Callithrix jacchus: one gene and its partner. The protein of the gene in region 1 purifies or fractionates together with the protein of each later gene. This does not show direct contact. Links are inferred from orthologs where the notes say so. Each region holds a gene or a part of one and is shown on either strand. Other genes may lie near its edges. The genes, in order: KDM5B and PAX9.

Region 1 (8,807 bases):
TAACAAGTAAAAAACATGTGGTACATACTGACTGATCCCAGTCATGATGCACAAGCAACAGCTTACAGAAAATATAAAAAGTCCATCTAAAGAACTTTTTTTTTTTTTTTTTGAAATGGAATCTCACTCTGTCACCAGGCTAGAGTGCAGTGACACAATCTCGGCTCACTGCAACCTCCCCCTCCCAGGTTCAAGTGATTCTGCCTCAGCCTCCCAAGTACCTGGGACTACAGGTATACGCCACCATGCCAGGCTAATTTTTTAATTTTTAGTAGAGACGGGGCTTCACCATATTGGCCAGGCTGGTCTCGAACTCCTGACCTCAAGTTGATCCACCCACATTGGCCTCCCCAAAGTGTTAGGATTACAGGCGTGACCCATAGAGCCTGGCCTAAAGCACTTTTAAAAGATAGGGGAGATCATTTATCAGGCTTACTAAATTCAGGTGGGTGAAGCATGGTCAAGTTTAAGAGTCCAATTTCAACACAGAGGAATTTCACCCAACAGGAAAAAGTTTTCTTCTTTGGATTCTAACTGCTATCCTAAATGAATCAAGAAAATATTTAAAGGTTGCTTCACCAGAAGATTAGAAGAATCACCCTGGCTTTACTGGAATAACAACTCACAGAATATAGATTAATCTATGATGTCGTCTTTGTACGTGATGAATTGCATGTTTTACCAAACTAGGAGATCTAAGGTCTTGCAGATGAGCTGGTTATAAACTTACCTCTAAGAGAGAATATGGAGAATTCTCAGTCAAGAATGTATTAACAGCACATTCTTTCCATGCCTGAACCTCAGCTACTAGGGATTCCAGTCTTGGCAAAGAATTCAGATGTACCGGGATAGATCGGCCTCGTGTAACAAGATCTATGAGTGTGTCTAACACTGGCACACGTCCTCCAGCCTAATAAGAAAAATTATAGCAGTTTGGAAAAAAGAATACCTCTATGAAAAATAGAAAAAGCATAATTCAGATTGGTTCATGATCTTAGCATGCTAAATTCACAAATCGTGATTAAATAAACTGCCAACTAACCAATGATGTTGGGGGTAGAAGTGACATTTGTTCCTTTATTACACAAATACTTCAGAGAACCTAGTTTGAGTTTTTTTGGTGGTGGTGGTTTTTCTTCTTTTTTAAGATGGAGTTCAACAGAAACGAAGGTTTGTACTAACTCAAGACTTTCACACTGAATTACACAAATAAAAAGCAAAACAATATTTTACTCCAATCCACTCACCAGTGATGAATTAAAGCAACTCAACATAAATTATTCAGGAAACTAAAATATTAGTTGAGATAGCCCAGTGGTTCTCAAACTTTAGCATGCATAAGAATCATCTGGAAGGCTTATTTAAACAGTTTCCTTAGTCCCATCCCCAAATATTCTAATTCAGTAGGTTAGAGGAAGATCCATAAATGTGCACTTCTAACAAGTTCCCAGGTGAAGCTGCTATTGCCAATGCTAATACTGCTGGTCTGGGAACTATATTTTGAGAAAGAGATAGCCAAACTAGAAGGAGAATAAAAGCATTAGATTACAGAGGATGAAATGGATTGGTGTTACTCCAGTACAATGTAAAACTTAGCATCACTAATGGTAGGCCATCCAAATATGTCTCCTGTTGTGATACAATACAGAATATACAATATTACCTGACATTTTAATTCATTCTATTAAAAAATGTTTAACTTGGTTACATCAGGGCTTTAAAACTAACTTCCAATTTATAGGAAATACGGAGAATAGAACACTCCTCAAAGAAACAACCAGACAAATCCAGAAAGTAGAGCATACCATAGGATAACTGTCAGTTACATGAGAAAAACTGCGGTGGGGAGGAAAACACTGCAAGATTAAAGAAACGTAACGCGATGCCAATTAGGTGCAACGTGTGTTCCTGGGTTAGACAAACAGCCATAAGGGACATTTTTGGGACAACTAGGGAAGATAGGGTAGATTGCTATTTCACTGCCTTTGATATTTATTCTTACAGGATTAAAACTGTTAGGGCATAAATGTTCCGACTGACACTTAAGAATGTGACTCATAAATTACATGCTATTCCTATATTTAATTTAGATATCAGAGTACTTCTATGTGTAAAACAGAATACCGTATAACATTTAAAAATAAATAATCCACTAAATATGAAGTAGTTCCTTGTTGTTATGTCTATTAGTCCTTAAATATAGTATGCAAAAAAATGTAAGCTACTTTTTCAGGAATGAAGCAAAACTTGCCTTTTGCCCTTAATGGCACTGTTGCAAGCATAGTAAGTAGCATATACATATAAAATATGAAGGAAATAAACACAACAGAAGCATGCCCTTGCCTTCTGATTTTACATGCCAGCCTCTCCTTATTGCCATGACTGCACCTTCTGGCTGCTACCAGTCATGGAGTAAAAAGGAGGACCATGACTAAAACTAATTACTACAGTACCAACTATCATTGACAAGCACCTGCATCTAAACTCTCATTAAGGAAGTTTATGTCCATAGTTAATACTTTCTTGGTTTTTTTCTTTGGCTTGCTGGATTAAGTCCTTAATTATGCAATCTCCTTAAACAACGTATCTTCTTTTCCCTATTAACAAGAACAGATGCCCAGATGTTTTCTTGCAAACATTTGTCTAGAATTGTCCTGTTTGGTACTTCTTGTTAGTGACTAGCCAATTAGCACCACATAAAATTACACAAATATTCAGAAAGAAAGACAGTATTTTATTCCTAAAATCTGAAGGCTTCAACAAAACAGAACTTGAGACTTTTTTTTTTCCCCAACAGGTCAGTAAGACCTATTGGTTTATGATGACAAGAAAGATAAAGGAGACATTCTCCATCAAACACTTTTCAAATTAAGTCATTCAGCCAGTCATCTGAACGCTGGGAAAATCATATTACAGAATGCATTATTTTTGTACCTCAACAATGGTATAAGTTAATTTAATTTTTTAAAAAACTTACATACAAGCTAATAAGTGTAACATCTACCATAATAAGACCATAAATACTTGGTGGAAATGACTTTGGATACTTTGGATAATTACTTTGGAACAGGGTAGGTTTTATTTCTTTTGTAGGGTTGGGAGGGTACATATAAGTCACTACTTCATGAAAATTCTGGGCCTTGGGGTTTAGTTTGGGCATTTAATCATATAACTAGATTCACTGAATCTGCTATTACTGATTGTTTGAACTCCAAAGCTGTGGACAAGCCAATAAGAGGTAATAATACTCATCAAAAAGCAGAAAATGACTCTTTCTCTCACTACTTTTCATTGTTAGCTCTTTGGCCTCAATCTGCAGTCAAGTACTCAAGTTTGTTATAAAAGACTCCCCAGATCCCAGAAAAAGTTGGTTACATTACCTAAGCTTTAAATATTTGAGACAACTGGTCAGGATAATAGCTGGTAAATACATCCAAATAAGTATGAATAGAATTAGTCTTCTGGTCAACCCCTAAAATATTGAATCTGTGCAGTGAAATCCAACACATTATTCTTAACAACTTTCCAATATTGCTCTTTATGGATGCACTTACACATTCATATATACTTTTTTAAACCAACCTGCAGGGCCTCTACATCCTGAAGCCAGTCTCTGGCTCTCTGCACTGAGTCTTTCAGAGCTGCACCATTGGGCAGATATGCGGGGATCTCCTCAATCTCCTTTACTGCTGTAGTAAGGCTATTCAATGAATGCCGTGGCCTACAAAATGCAAACACAGACTACTAAGCATTTTATATGATGGTTCATTTTTCTTATGATTGCCAAAAAGATAGCATGTCAAAGAAAATTCAGTATGGCAAATAAATTTTTTCAAATGGCATTGTCTGCTCTTGTTGAAAATTATCTGCACTGTTTTCTTACAGAACAGTCCCTATTAACTCTCAGACATTTCTCTGTAAGACTCCTTGGAAACATATATGCTAACTGAGTTTAAACAGCTTCACCCATTTATAAATATTTTCCTCTCCCAAAGACAGGATATTAACAGGATCCAGGGAAATTTCATTAAACCAACTCTAGAGAAGGTGTGTCCAATTGAATTATTCATTTTATAATCAGTAAAATTAAAAAAAATTAACATTATTTTATTCAGGCCCCAAAGCAGCTCCAGGTATCTCAGCTATTTCTACGTATCTTCCACATGCATAGTAACTACAGCTACCGAGCACTTGCCACATACCAATCACTATGCTCTATGCTTAAGATGGAGATAACTGTCCAACCTTCCCAAAGAAAGAGAAATGTTTGCTTTTTTACCTGGCCTTGAGGAGACCCTTGGCTTTGTCATCCCAGTGCTCTGACACTGTGAGCAATTCCTGCAGCCGGGCCATAGCCTTCTCCACTGCTGAATATGGGGCCAGCCCTACCCCTAGGTCTATGAGACGTCTCATATCATCTAAAGTAAGGGAGCTGGGGTCAAGGCAAGCTTGCTGCACCTCTTCCAGCCAACGGGCCTGTTCCAGACGGATACGCATCTCAGCAAGCTGTGGAAGTTCAACATCAAATTCAAAGCTGACATCTAGCAAGTCCTGCAGCTCCGCAGCACTAGGCATTTCCTCAGAGAGTAGTTTCTGACTATGCTGTTGAAAATCTTCTACACGATTCAAGAGATCCTAAAAAAATACACAGGTTGTTGCATCAAAACAGTAATTTCAGTAATTGGCTTCTTTAAAACTTAGAATCTTAAATTCATATTCAATGAGATCCTTTACCATTCCTTTAATTCTATTCTAGTAATAACATAGGTAATAAGATAATACATAAGCCAACTGACAGCAAACACTAAGTGACTATAACGGAGAGCTTATCCCAACTTCAACTAGCTGAGGTCACTTTCAAAGTAAAAATTTCCAACTTTTTTCCCCTCTGTGGGCCTACTATAATCTCTTTCTACACACATACCACTCAATGTCTTATTAAAAGCATCTGCAGATAAATGTACATATTAATCATCAAAGAAGATTACTTAGTACTGTCAATCTAATTTATTTACAAAATACAGGATTACCCAAGTATTTTCCCACATATCCCTCTGTGGTTACCTTTAGCAATGGTGTTTGACTGAGGACACATGGAAGAGCATACAACTGTGTTACAAACTGCCGGAGCTCATTCACTGTCAACTGAGTTTGGGATTTCCCTCCACCAGATCGGTATCTATAAAGACAAAGGCCCAAGGAAGCCGTATAAGAACATATGTATGTCCACCACACCCAAGTGGTCACAGAAATTCAAGACAGAAGGAGTCAACAACAGGTTTCCAAACATAGGTGCCAAGGAATCCAAACTCATGCAGTCAGAAGCACATACCTAGTTTGCCTTTTGCCATTAAGCAATTGCTGTGCAACAGAGGCACACTTCTCTGCATCCTGTGTGACTAAGCGAAGGTGTCGCAAAAGATCATTGTCTGGGAATTTCTTCAATTCAGATTCTTCAATTAAAGCCTTGAAGCTGACAAGGCCTAGGAATGAAGAAAAAAGTCATCTTTTCTGTAATCATTACGTTTATTACTACTGGTATGAAATTCAGAGGAGACTGCTTTTGCGAGTTCTGGTCTAGAAATGTAACTTACAAATTCTTGCAATGTTTTAAATTATTAATAAATTTATTGATTTGATTTTTGTGGGGTTGTGGCTGAGCATGGAGATATTTTGGTTTTTTTTTTTTTGAGATGGAGCCTCGCTCTGTTGCCCAGGCACTACCTCGGCTCACTGCAACCTCCACCTCCCGGGTTCAAACAATTCTCCTGCCTCAGCCTCCCGAGTAGCCGGGACTACACGCGCCCGCCACCAGCCAATTTTCTTTTTGTATTTTTAGTAGAGAAAGGTTTCACTGTGTTGGCCAGGCTGGTCTCAAACCCCTGACCTCGTAATCCACCTGCCTCGGCCTCTCAAAGTGCTGGGATTACAGGCATGAGCCACCAAGCCAGCTGAGCATGGAGTTCTTTAAACAAGTGCCTAAAGTTGAACTTAATTATGGAAACATTAAGATCTGACACGTTTTAGGCTGGGTACAGTGGCTCATGCCTATGTACCTGGTCAGCACAGCAAGATCTCATCTCTACAAAATTAAAGACCTCAGCCAGGTGCGATGGCACATAACTGTAGTCCCAACTATTGGACAGCCTAAAACAGGAGGATCACTTAAACCCAGGAGTTCAAAGATGCAGTCAGCCATGATCATGCCATTGAACTCCTGTCAAGGTCACAGAGCAAGACCCTGTCTTAAAAAGAAAGAAAGAAAGAAAAGCAAATATAAATCTTACTGTGGCTTGAACCACATTTTCCTCCTGCATTTTATTCTCCACTTACTGAGTAATTAGTGTACTCACTTAAGCAGAGCACACTAGGCTCATAGACAATGATATTGCTCCTCTCCCCTAAATAAAAGGGGGTAGAGTTATATGTTGGGCTACAGAAATGAAAGCAAGTTAAAATAGAGAAATGGACTGGTACAAAACCAGACACACAGACCAATGGAACAGAATAGAGAACTCAAAAATAAAAATGCAAACCTACAACTATCTGAGCTTCAACAAATCTAACGAAAACAAGCAATGGAGAAAGGATTCCTTATTCAATAAATGGTGCTGGAATAACAGCTAGCCATATGCAGAGGACTAAAACAGGACCACTTCCTTACACCATATACAAAAATTAACTCAAGAGGGATTAAAGACTTAAATGTAAAACCCCAAACTATAAAAACCCTGGATTGCAACCTAGGCAACATCATTCAGGACATAGGCACAGACACAGGCAAAGATTTCATGAAGATGCCAAAAGCAACTGCAACAAAACCAAAAACTGACAAATGGGATCTAATTAAAGAGCTTCTGAAATGTGAAATAAACTATCATCAGAGTGAACAGACAACCTACAGAATGGGAGAAAATATTTGCAAGTATGCATCCGACAAAGGTCTAATATCCAGCATCTATAAAGAACTTAAATTTACAAGAAAAAAAGCAAAAAACCCCTTTAAAAAAGTAGGCGAAAAGAAAAAATGCTTTTCCAGAAGAGACATACATGTGGCCAACAGTCATATGAAAAAAAGCCTAACATCACTGATCATTAGAGAAATGCAAATTAAAACCACAATGAGCTATCATCTCACACCAGTCAGAATGGCTATTTTTTTTTTTTTTGGTGATGGGAGTTTTGCTGTTGTTACCCAGACTGGAGTGCAATGGCACAATCTCAGCTCACCGCAACCTCCGCCTTCTGGGTTCAAGCAATTCTCCTGCCTTAGCCTCCCAAGTAGCTGGGATTACAGGCACGCGCCATCATGCCCAGCTAATTTTTGTATTTTTAGTAGAGACAGGATTTTGCCTTGTTGACCAGGATGGTCTTGATCTCTTGACCTCGTGATCCACCCGCCCCGGCCTCCCAAAGTGCTGGGATTATAGGTGTGAGCCACCGCGCCCGGCCAGAATGGCTATTATTAAAAAGTAACAGATACTGGTGAGGTCGTGGAGAAAAACAAATGCTTATACACTGTTGGTAGAAGTATAAATTAGTTCAACCATTGTGGAAGACAGTGTGGCTATTCTTCAAAGACCTAAAGACCAAAATACCATTAGACCGAGCAATGCCATTATATTCCTTTGGGTATATACCAAGGTATATTAGACCAAGCAATGCCATTATATTCCTTTGGGTATCCAAAGGAATATAAATCATTCCATTATAAATACACATGCAAATGTATGTTCACTGCAACACTATTCACAACAGTAAAGACATAGAATCAACCTAAATACCCATTAACAATAGATTGGGTAAAGAAAATGTGGGCCACGTGTGGTGGCTCACGCCTGTAATCCCAGCACTTTGGGAGGCTGAGGTGGGTGGATCACAAGGTCAGGAGTTCAAGACCAGCCTGGCCAAGATGTTGAAACCACATCTCTACTAAAAATACAAAAATTAGCTGGGCACAATGGCATGTGCCTGTAATCCCAGCTACTCAGGAGGCTGAGGCAGGAGAATCGCTTGAACCTGGGAGGCAGAGGTTGCAGTGAGCCGAGATCACACCATTGCACTCCAGCCTGGGTGACAGTGTAAGACTCCGTCTCAAAAAAAAAAAAAGAAAATGGATCAAGCAGAAGAAAGGATATCAGAGGTTGAAGACCAACTTAATGAAATAAAACGACAAGAAAAGAATAGAGAAAAAAGGATGAAAAGGAATGAGCAAAGTCTCCAAGAAATATGGGACTGTGTGAAAAGACCAAATCTACTTTTGATTGGTGTACCTGAATGTGATGGAGAGAATGAATCCAAGCTGGAAAATACTTTCCAAGATATTATCCAGGAAAATTTTCCCAATCTAGCAAAGCAGGACACTATTCAACCCCAGGAAATACAGAGAACACCACAAAGATATTCCTCAAGAAGAGCAACCCCAAGGCACATAATCGTTAGATTCACCAGGATCGAAACGAAGGAGAAAATACTAAGGGCAGCCAGAGAATAAGGCCAAGTTACCCATAAAGGGAAGCCTATTAGACTTACAGCAGATCTCTCAGCGGAAACCCTACAAGCCAGAAGAGAGTGGGGGCCAATATTCAACATAATTAAAGAACAGAACTTTCAGCCTAGAATCCTGCCAAACTAAGCTTCACAATTGAAGGAAAAATAAAATCTTTTATGAACAAACAAGTACTCAGAGATTTTATTACCACCAGGCCTGCTTTACAAGAGCTTCTGAAAGAAGCATTATACATAGAAAGGAACAACCAGTATGAGCCTTTCTAAAAATATACCAAAAAGTAAAGAGCATCAACATA
Region 2 (9,536 bases), on another chromosome or scaffold:
TGGGTTCATCAATGACATGTGGAGTTAGAAAGTTTTTCAACTCTATACATCACAACGTTATTTCAATAAATGATGACCTAATAAAAAGCACTGAGTGCCTATTAAATGCTTGCTTCTATGGTAGACGCTTTATATACACTCTTTCTATTGTTCCTAACAAAATCCCTTGAAGCTTTTTGACTATGGGCTCTCTGAACAAGATATACTCTGATAAATATTACTTGCTTTTACAAGTCTCTCTTTAACTGCCACTTAGAACCACAGGTATATACTTAATAAATGCTTAATAAATACTTAATAACTGTTTACTATGTGCCATATGGTTGCATTATCTCATTGAATACCCATAACATCTCTTGGGGTTGGGAGTATCATCTCCCTGTTTTAAAGATGAAGAAATAGAAACTCTAAAAAATTAAATATTTTACTAAGAAGTCATACAGCCAGAGATCAGAGCTCCTAACCATTGTACTATTCTGCCTTTTTTTTTTTTTTTTTTTTTTTGTAAATTGCAAGTTAAGGGTGGGTCCTATAGTAAAAGAAAATGACAAACTTCCTTATCATTTTCCATTGGCATTCTTTACAGTAGAAGCAGACTAAGAAAAAGGGCTCTCTTTCCTTGCTGCCATTTTCTGTGCTATTTGCTATTGGAGAGCCACTGACATGTATTCTGATTCAGCTTCAACGAATAAGAGAAGGAAGAGGACGTGGAAATGGGATTTGTTACAGAAAACAACGACTAGGATTTTTTGCCATGTGAATAAGAGGGACACGTTCCACTTAATTTTTAAAGGCTAATTTTGACAGATAAGAAAACTTTAAAAATTTTAAGACTTCAAAATAATAAAACGAAAACTGAATAGCTTGAGGCTTTGGAATTAGAATTTTGGATTAAGAAATTTGCAAACCTACTGAGGTCTGCTGGGGAAATCTTACACTGCCTTAAGATCAGGTTTTTGAGAGTTTTGAACTCTTGACTCCACGGCGGTGATGAATTTAGACTTAAATCTGGAGCTTTTGTTGTGGTGGTTGCTTAGCTTTTCTCTGGGGGAAAAGAAAACACCGGTGTTTTAAATTTTCCTTTGGAGACTTGAGGGAGGGACGGAGGGAAAGAAAAATTAAACGGTCCACAGCCAGTCCGTATAATTTGAGGTTTTCTCACTAACTTCTTTGGGAGATTACGATGTGACCTTTAGTCGAGAAAATGGTAGCTTTGTTACGTTTATCTGGGTGCCCCTCTTCGCAGGAGGAACCACGCGGGTTTGTCCGAGAGCCACGGGGGCAAAAGTCCGAGCGCGAGGACCCCCACAGCCGCCGTCCCACCGCAGGACCGAGACCCGGGGCGGGCATTTCGCGGGCGTGGAGGCGGCTCCGAAGCCCCAGGGTTGCTCGACCCGGCCCTTCGGAAGGGTCTTCTTTGGCTAACTCTACCCCCAATATGAGTCGCTGAAAGGCTTCGGGAGCCGCCTCCCCAAGCCTCCAGAGACCGAAAGGCCTGGAGGCGCTTCCCAGAGCCGCGCCCCGGGGAGCGGCCGCCCCAGATCCCCGCGCCCTGGCGAGCGCTCCCGGCCCCTGGCGGGGGGTTGAGGCCCAAGCTCCGCCTTCGAAGGCCCGGGCCTCTGTTTCACCCCAAAGCACAGAGGATCTGGCTGGTAGCAGCAAATGGGCGCGGGCCTGGGTTTTTCTCCCGGGAGGCTCAGAAACGGACCCGAGTCTTCTTATCGCCTAAATCCCCGGCGCCACGCGGTCCACCTGGCCGGGACCTCGCCTCCTCACCTGACTGTACTTGGTTTCCTGCTCCAGGGCTCCCTTCTCCAGCCCGTTCACCGCGTGCGGGGCGGCGGCGGGGAAGTTGTTGCGGCCCAGGCTGCTCCACTCCTCCACCTTGGGGCTGTGGTAGGGGGAGCTGTCGCTCACTGCTGGAGAGGAAGAGAAGGTGTCAGGCCGGAGGCCCAGCCCGCACGCCCCACTCATGAGACGGGACCCAAGTAAGCGACGAGAGAGCTCGAGGGCTCAGACCTTGGGTCGGCCCCCTGCCCTCGGTCTCCCGAGGGCGCTGGGCCCAGCCGCGACCTCCGTCCGGTGCTTCCAGCCCAGGGCCTGGTGAAGCTTTACTCGCCTGAATGCAGGCCTTTCCGAGTTATCTGACGTCTGAGGGAAGATATTTTTTTCTTTTTCAACCGGTCTTTGCTTTCCCTCCACTCCTCCGCTCTCCCAGGGCAAAGGAGTGGAAGAAACCCAAATCAGGAAGGAACTCTTAAGGCTGCACGCGCCCGCGGGTTCTCTACCTCCTCAGTCTTAATAACCCAAGGCCGACTGGGGGTTGACAACGTTTTGGGACTGGGGCTGGCTAAAAAGAAAGGCGCCGGACCTAAGGGTGCCTGCACTGGTGCTCACTGCACTGTGGGGATCTGGCACTTTTGTCAATAAAGAACAAAATGACCTGCAAAGTCCTTTGCAAACAACTAAATGATTCCCACAATTCAGTGCAAAAGATATGTTCACAGATTTCTGCTTTGTATGTGCATAGGGCTCCCCTTGATACTCTACCTCTACACATTACATATGTGATAAGTGCATATGACTTAAATCTTGCAATTACCACTCTACATGTCATGGGTGTCAGTGGCAGGGTTATCCTAAAAGAGTTTTAAATATATATATATATATATATATATATATATATTTGTATATATATATATACAAGAAAGAGAAAATGAAATCGGTTAAGAAAATGAAAGTAGAATTAAGTGTTAAGGTGTAATGTCATCAGTTATTCTTTCTGTTCTTGTTGGAGATGCAAAGAAAATTGTATGGTGTAATTACTATGATACTTGGAGTTGTGCATATTGAATCATTGCCATTTTTCAGTGACCAGGTATAGTTAGTTTCAAAGAGATTGGTGAAGGCTACAAACAATGTATTTTTGTCTTTGGGTCCTATGGGTGGAGGATGGAAGTTTGACAAAGCCATTGTAACTTGATTTTAAACACTTCCATCTGACAAGTGCTTTAAGAGAGTGATCATTTTTGTAGAAATCATCATTTTATAGTCACAAATTTGTCAGAATCTGGGTTGTTTAAAGCTGGCATCGAAAATCACAACAATGTCTATAAGGAAGAGTTGCTCCTTTCCATTCTCCAGTACTTTCCCAGCTGACATTCGCTCTGATGGGAGAATCCCTAGGCAGGAAAAGTTTTCTTTTCAACTGTCAGCCTTTTTTTTTCCACTATGTCTCCTCCTCTACCACCCTCAAGAATTAGATTGAGTCCCATTTGCACCAGGAAACTGTGTTTTGGTTCAAAACTGCCTGTCTGTTTTTGCCTTCCCAGACAAAAGGCAGTCAGTGGGCACAAGCCTGAAGTTATCTTAAGAAATTGAGATCCCCCTGTGAGCCCCCATTTCTGCTGATCTCACACTTTCCCATGAACAGGGGCTTCCTTTAAATGTCAGTGAGGTCAGTTTATCCTATAAATCAAGGGCAAACTCTCCAACTACGGCTCCAAGTAGCTCCAAATAAGACAAAACTGGGCTCTTGTAAACTTGCAGTCAGAAAACAAGAAGATGAGAAATCAGAGCTCTACTTTAATTACTTAAAAAGATAATTGTGCCAATGTGGTGGCAACCAAGAAAGGCAGGAAGTAATTAAAAGAACTATTTTCCTCTTTCCTATTTAATTTTCCCCCTACATTTTTAAAACTTTAGGCTGATATGTTAAGAAAGTGGACTATCTACACATTATTTAAATTCTGCATATAGGACAGTTAGACTTTATTTTCTCCCTACCAAGAAGTTAACGCCAAAAAAAAAAAAAAAACAACTCAGTAAAAGAAAACAAACTCAGGTCTCCTGCTGAAGCCGGACTGGGCAGGAGGGCTCGGGGAATCCTGACTAGGCAGAAAGGACGCTTAGGACTAGGCAAGGTCAGGGGTGAGAAAGGAAAGAACAGTGGGGTGGCACTGCTGAAAATGTGCAGAAACTAGATAGATACCCACTTGCATTCTTGGGGACCCGAGAACCCCAAAGGAAAGCGGAAAGCTCAGGGTAAACGGAAAAGAACAGTAAAAAGAACGGCATGGAATCGCCTGCATTTTATTTCCATCACTGCAGATGCCACTTCCCCTCCTAAGATACACACGGTGAAGTCTGTTAAGGGGGAGAGGTAGAGGGAGAGAGAGAGAGAGAGAGAATATGACCTCGTCTGGGAATGAGTTAGTAGTAGTAACTTCGGGACCTCCATTTCCGAGGAAAATGAAGTGAAGCATAAGAACGAAACCAATTAGTTGACATTTGAACTTCCTGCCGGAGCAAATTTGGCCTGATTGCCAAAATGGGAGAATACTTCAATTTCCACCGCGTGCTGGACTCCTCCCGGGCGTCTGTGATCCCCAAGCAAGCTACTCTGCCTGCAGCGGCATCTGCAGCCGGCAGCCCCAAGCAGGCTCAGGCCTCCCGGGCTGCCCCCCAAGTCCGGCCCGGACGCTCTCTTCAAGTGAGCAAGCCGGGCTGAGGCCGCCTCGGCTCGAGAGGCGGGGGAGGGTGGAAAATGCGAACCATGTGTTGGGGATGGGGGGATGTTATGGGTCTGGTAGTTTGAGATGAGGCAGGAGACTGTGTGTGGCAAGGAAACCAGGGGCAAGCGTTTCAAGTTAATGAGATCAGGACACCCCCTAGGAAGACTCCTTACGTTTCCAAAGGAAAAAGCCTCAGGTGATAGGAAAGACAGGGTCCCAGAGGCCGCAGATAGTGGGACCTCCGCGGGAATGCGGAGGCAGATGCTGCACATCCACACGCCCTGTCTCTGAGCCCCTACCTTGGTCGGTGATGGAGCGGATGCCCAGGATGTCAGTGACGGAGTGCGAGGAAGGCCAGGTGCGCGGCATGGCCACCGAACCGGGAATGGCAGGCACCCCGGGTGGTGTGGGCACCTTGGCAGCCGCCGCCGTGATAGGACTGGGGTATGAGTAGATGTGGTTGTAGGGCAGCGCTGGCTGCGGTGCCGGCTGGTGCTGCTTGTACGAGTCGTAATGACCCTGCTGGGCCAAGTTGCCGATCTTGTTGCGCAGAATGCGGCTGATGGAGCTCACCGAGGGCACGTTGTACTTGTCGCACACACCGTCCGCCAGCAGGCGGTCCCGGATCTCCCAGGCGAAGATGCCAGGGTCCCTCTGCTTGTAGGTCCGGATGTGCTTCACCACGGTGGGGGTAGTGACCCGGGGCTTGCTGCCCCCGATGGCTCCTGGCAAGATCGAGCCTGTTTCGTTGTAGCGCGCCAGGATCTTGCTGACACAGCCGTGTGAGACCCGTAGCTGGCGGCTGATGTCACAGGGTCGGATGCCCAGTTGGGCCAGTTCCACGATGCGAAGCCGGATGGCGTTGGGCAGCGGCCTCCCGTTCACGAACACTCCACCCAGCTGGTTCACCTCCCCGAAAGCTGGCTCTAAAAAACGAACACACAGCGCGCGGAGACGCGCACACGCTGCTTGGGACAGCCGCCTGCCACTGGGCCTCCCTGCGCGTCCGGGGACTGGGCGAACGCACCCGTCCTGTACTAACGACAGGGGCTGTCCCCAAGCCAAACGATTCCTGAACAAAGCCGAACGGGCCCAACTGTCACGGTCCAATCGGACCCCCTCCCTCATTCCTGCGGTGCCAGAGGCCCCTACAGCCAAGTAAAGTGGTGAGACTCAGGGCCTCTCCAAGCGTTCAAAAGTCCTCCGAAGCAGGACGGGAAATCGGTCTTGATGCCTAAACGCGCTGCTTGTAGCCTGCTCCTCACTAAATTTCTTGGGCCACTCCCTCTTTACTCATCCCATCCCCAGCGTTCCTCCTGGAGACCCGGGCAGTTAAACAAAGTCTAGGAGAAGCTAGAGGTGCTTTTTTTTCCCTCCTGTTTTGTTTGTGTGTATGCGCGCGTGTGAAGCAAAACTTGGTTTGCTACGGGGGCTGCGGGGCTTGCTGATGCCATAGTTCCCTTCTCTTAAAATCAGAAAATGGCATCAATAGCCAGCCAGTAGCCAGCGTTCACATTGAACTCCTGTGCGCCGCTGACCCTTAGCGTGTTCCTACAACTTGTAGGAACACGAGCAAAGTCAATAGAAAATGTGAGCGCTTAGTGGCGCGCGCCCTCTCGCTCCCTCCCTCCCTCCCTCTCTCGCTCGCTCCCTCCCTTCGCGGCTCCGACAGAGTCTTCCACCGCCACTCACCCATTGCTCCGAGCAGTACACCAACCCGGCCCCAGTTCCGCACAACCAGACAGAAACTTTCCGCAGGGCCGCAATGGCCCGGCCTGTTGCTACCCCGAGCCGCCGGCGCCTCCGCTTCTTCCCAGGAGGTGGAGGCGAGAGTGCAAAAGGAAGAAGTAAAAGGAAGTCTGTGCCCCGGTGAAAGAGGCTTGAGTTCTGCATTTCAATCTAAGCTGCAACGTGGGCTGGGCTGAGCAGGGCCGGGCGGCTCCGTCTATCACTCACTGGGGACACGCCCTCAAAGAGGCGGGCCTGAGGGCGAGCTGCGTGGTGATTGGTACGGGCCGGTGAGCGGCAGGGCAGTCCAGGAAACTCCTTCCGCTATCTCTTTCAGGCTGGCCCCCCACCTGGGTGACTAAATACCACGAAAATGGGTGTTTGACATCTTCCCAGAAGCGACACAAAAAGACAGCAAAATCAGGCTGGTAAAATGCTGAATAAACAAATGAAAGAGTCTTATCTGAGTATGAATGATTCGAAGGGAGAAGGGACCCGAGGAGACCTCCTCAGGGGAACGATGGACGTCTCAGAATTGAAGTTAAAACCCTAAGTGGGAGGCGGGCGCCACGGTGCACGGGGGTGGGGAGTTGTCTTAGCAAAATCTGTCGAGAGGGCCACCGGAGAGAATCTGTGTCACCTGCCGATTCTACCTAACTTCAATCCATGCCAGGTGGAGAGAGCGCAGGTGTGAGAAGGTAGGCCCGCCAGAGAAACCAGGAGGTTACGGGGAGCCCGAGCCACAGGTGAGGGCCACTGTTAAGGCCAGGGAGGCTCCTCCTACCGCCAGCTTCCCGCGGCAGCCCCCCACCCCCCAGGTGGACTGGCCAACCACTAGCCACGCAGGCTCAAGGTAGGGGCCACGCCGTGTGCCGGGAACTGAACCACAGGAGGCTAACGCGAGGGCACTGCCCCAAGTCCATTGATTGCCAGTGCCTGGGGCACTCACTACGGAGTCCAAGGCTCTGCCACATTCAGCCACTGTCCTGGGCCGCTGGGCCTTGGTGCCAGGGTTTGTGAGGGTTCTCCAAACCGATTTCTAGAGAGTTTTGTTTGTATATAAAAGAGATCTAGTCTCAAGAAAGTGGACACTGATGCTGCACATGGATGTAATTCCCTCTTCTATTAAGCTCCCAGAGGTCCTTTGGTTCTGCCTACTTCTGAATTTTCACTTTTGTTCATGCTAAGTCTAATCTAAAGTTTGCTGTATGCTTGTTGGCAGCCAAAGTTATTGATATTTGCAGTTAGGGTTGTGGAGAATGTGAATAAAAATAATAAACAAGAAGAAAATATTTTCGTGAATTTGGGAGTTTTTACTGCTTGGGGTCGTGAACTATGCTACTGCTACTTGACAATCCACAAGGCTCTTTGTCCACGCAGGATTCAGGCTGCTTCCCCAACAGTCCCCAGGGATGTGTGTGGCTCTGTTAAACCCAGGGAAGCTGGTCCCAGATCTTGGGCCAGTAAGTTACAAGAACCCAGGACAAAACTGTGATCAGCCATGCTTCTGCAAAGGAACAGATCTCCAGATTCCCACTTGTATAGTGAGGATGCACTCTAAATTCGGTTACCTAACAGAATGAAGGATGTGAAAGATACAGATGAACTAAAACACCATTCTTTACAATCGTAATCTTGAAAAAAGTCCCACAACTAGACATACTTGAACTTGTCCCTTTTTGTTGGTTGGTTTCAAATGTTTAAAATCTTCTTAAAGTTTGATTTGATAGAAATTTCACTCTAGTCTGACCCCAATATCTGTTGAGTGACACCGTGTGGCACCGCCTGGCATTTTTACATAAGTAGAGCCTTCGGAAATCTAAAGATTTTAGAAGCAGAAGCGCCTTCTTAAGGCTGATACATTAATTGAGTTTTTGACGCATCGGAGGGGAGTTTACGACTTTGCCTTAGGCTTCAGGAGGGAATGAACATGCCCAGCAACTTGATCAGGAATCCTCCTTCCTCCTCACAGACAAGCAGTGAGTGTCGTCCTCTGCGCAGAATGTGATCTACCTCCGTGCACCCAGGGAGAATTCGCAGTCGGCAGGGCTGCTAGGCGGATACGAGGATATTCGCCTACCAACATGCAAAACCTAATGCCCCGCGGGGTGTCTGGGGACTCTTCGAAAGCTTTAGCAGTTCTACAGCACCAGCCTAGGGTAAAAGGTTACTGTTTAGAGCTCTGGCCATTTGGAGGTAACATACAACCCCCTCTTGTTCCCACCAACTCCTTTGTCTGCCACACATCTCCCCAGTTCTCACACAGATTCAATGCCATCTCTCCCTTTCCATCTTCTGGACTTGGCTGTGACCATGTGGCCTTAGATGCTGCGGACTCCCTGGGCGCATCAGGGGTAGCATCTCAGTGGGCAGGGGGCCTGATCCGCGGCGCCGGCCGCTCCCCGCAGACCCCACTCATACCGTCGGTTGCAGGTACTGGGTGCTCTTAACATTGTCAAGAGCGCAGAAAGAACCCATTTTAGGTGCTTTGGGCCACTAAGTATCCACCGCAAGCAGAGGACCCCGCTCTGGGAGCAAGAGAAGACAAAGCTGCAGCGGCAGACGCTGTCAGTGAGACCCCAGCAGAAGAGGGTGACGCTGAAGCCTTCCCAGGCGCGGACAGAGTGCTGGGGCGAGGCAGGCACTGAGCTCCACCGAGAGACGACGGATCTGAGGGAGAGAAAGAGGGATAGAGGAAGGAAGAGAAAGAACATTCAGGTATAGTCAGTTCCAATGGGCGTAAGGACGTAGGACTTAGAGAAAAAACAAGAGTCAGCTGGAGTCACTGCCCCCTGGGTACTGGCCAGTCTGGACCCAGGAGATCACAAAGAGATTAGAAGAATTTCAACTAAAAGGAGAAATTTAAGACCAAAACCAAAACACAACCAGTAAGGCCTGCAGCTGGCTCAGGCCGGGGAGAAGCCAAAAAGCCTTTCCCTAGTCTCGTCGAGGCCTCCTCCGAGGGGCGACCGGCTCTCTGGGTAAATATTTACTCAGTGGGAGACTGGAAGCCAGCCGGGCCTAGAGTGTGAAGGAGGGGGGCTACACAGGGTTGGAGGGATCTGTACACTCGGTGCGGGCCGGATCCCGGTGTACACCCGCCCGAGGGGAGCAGTAGCCGGGGACTCCGGGGGCGGCTCGGCCTAGGCGTGCGGCTGGGGAAGTTTTAATCCCTACCACCGGCTCGGCTGGACTCCGCCCTGCCCTCGAGGACCCCAGCCAGATGCTGTGAAGTCTCCATAAATCTGTCAGCCCTCCCAGTGCCGCGGGCAGTCACCTGCTGCGCCCCCTTCC

What was found.
Region 2: the proteins of KDM5B (region 1) and PAX9 purify together in Homo sapiens (affinity purification with western blotting, with the first as the bait; 3 studies listed by BioGRID). This does not show direct contact. The link is inferred for Callithrix jacchus from reciprocal best matches to the Homo sapiens genes KDM5B and PAX9.

What each region holds. Positions count from the first base shown.
Region 1 is NC_133520.1:29,768,405-29,777,211, forward strand, and holds part of KDM5B (lysine-specific demethylase 5B), read right to left. Parts: intron 5,484-8,807; coding exon 5,333-5,483; intron 5,180-5,332; coding exon 5,065-5,179; intron 4,636-5,064; coding exon 4,280-4,635; intron 3,722-4,279; coding exon 3,583-3,721; intron 911-3,582; coding exon 731-910; intron 1-730. UniProt on the Homo sapiens protein: Histone demethylase that demethylates 'Lys-4' of histone H3, thereby playing a central role in histone code. Does not demethylate histone H3 'Lys-9' or H3 'Lys-27'. Demethylates trimethylated, dimethylated and monomethylated H3 'Lys-4'.
Region 2 is NC_133509.1:71,287,497-71,297,032, reverse strand, and holds the start of PAX9 (paired box protein Pax-9), read right to left. Parts: upstream 6,136-9,536; 5' UTR 5,643-6,135; coding exon 4,814-5,642; intron 1,920-4,813; coding exon 1,777-1,919; intron 1-1,776. UniProt on the Homo sapiens protein: Transcription factor required for normal development of thymus, parathyroid glands, ultimobranchial bodies, teeth, skeletal elements of skull and larynx as well as distal limbs.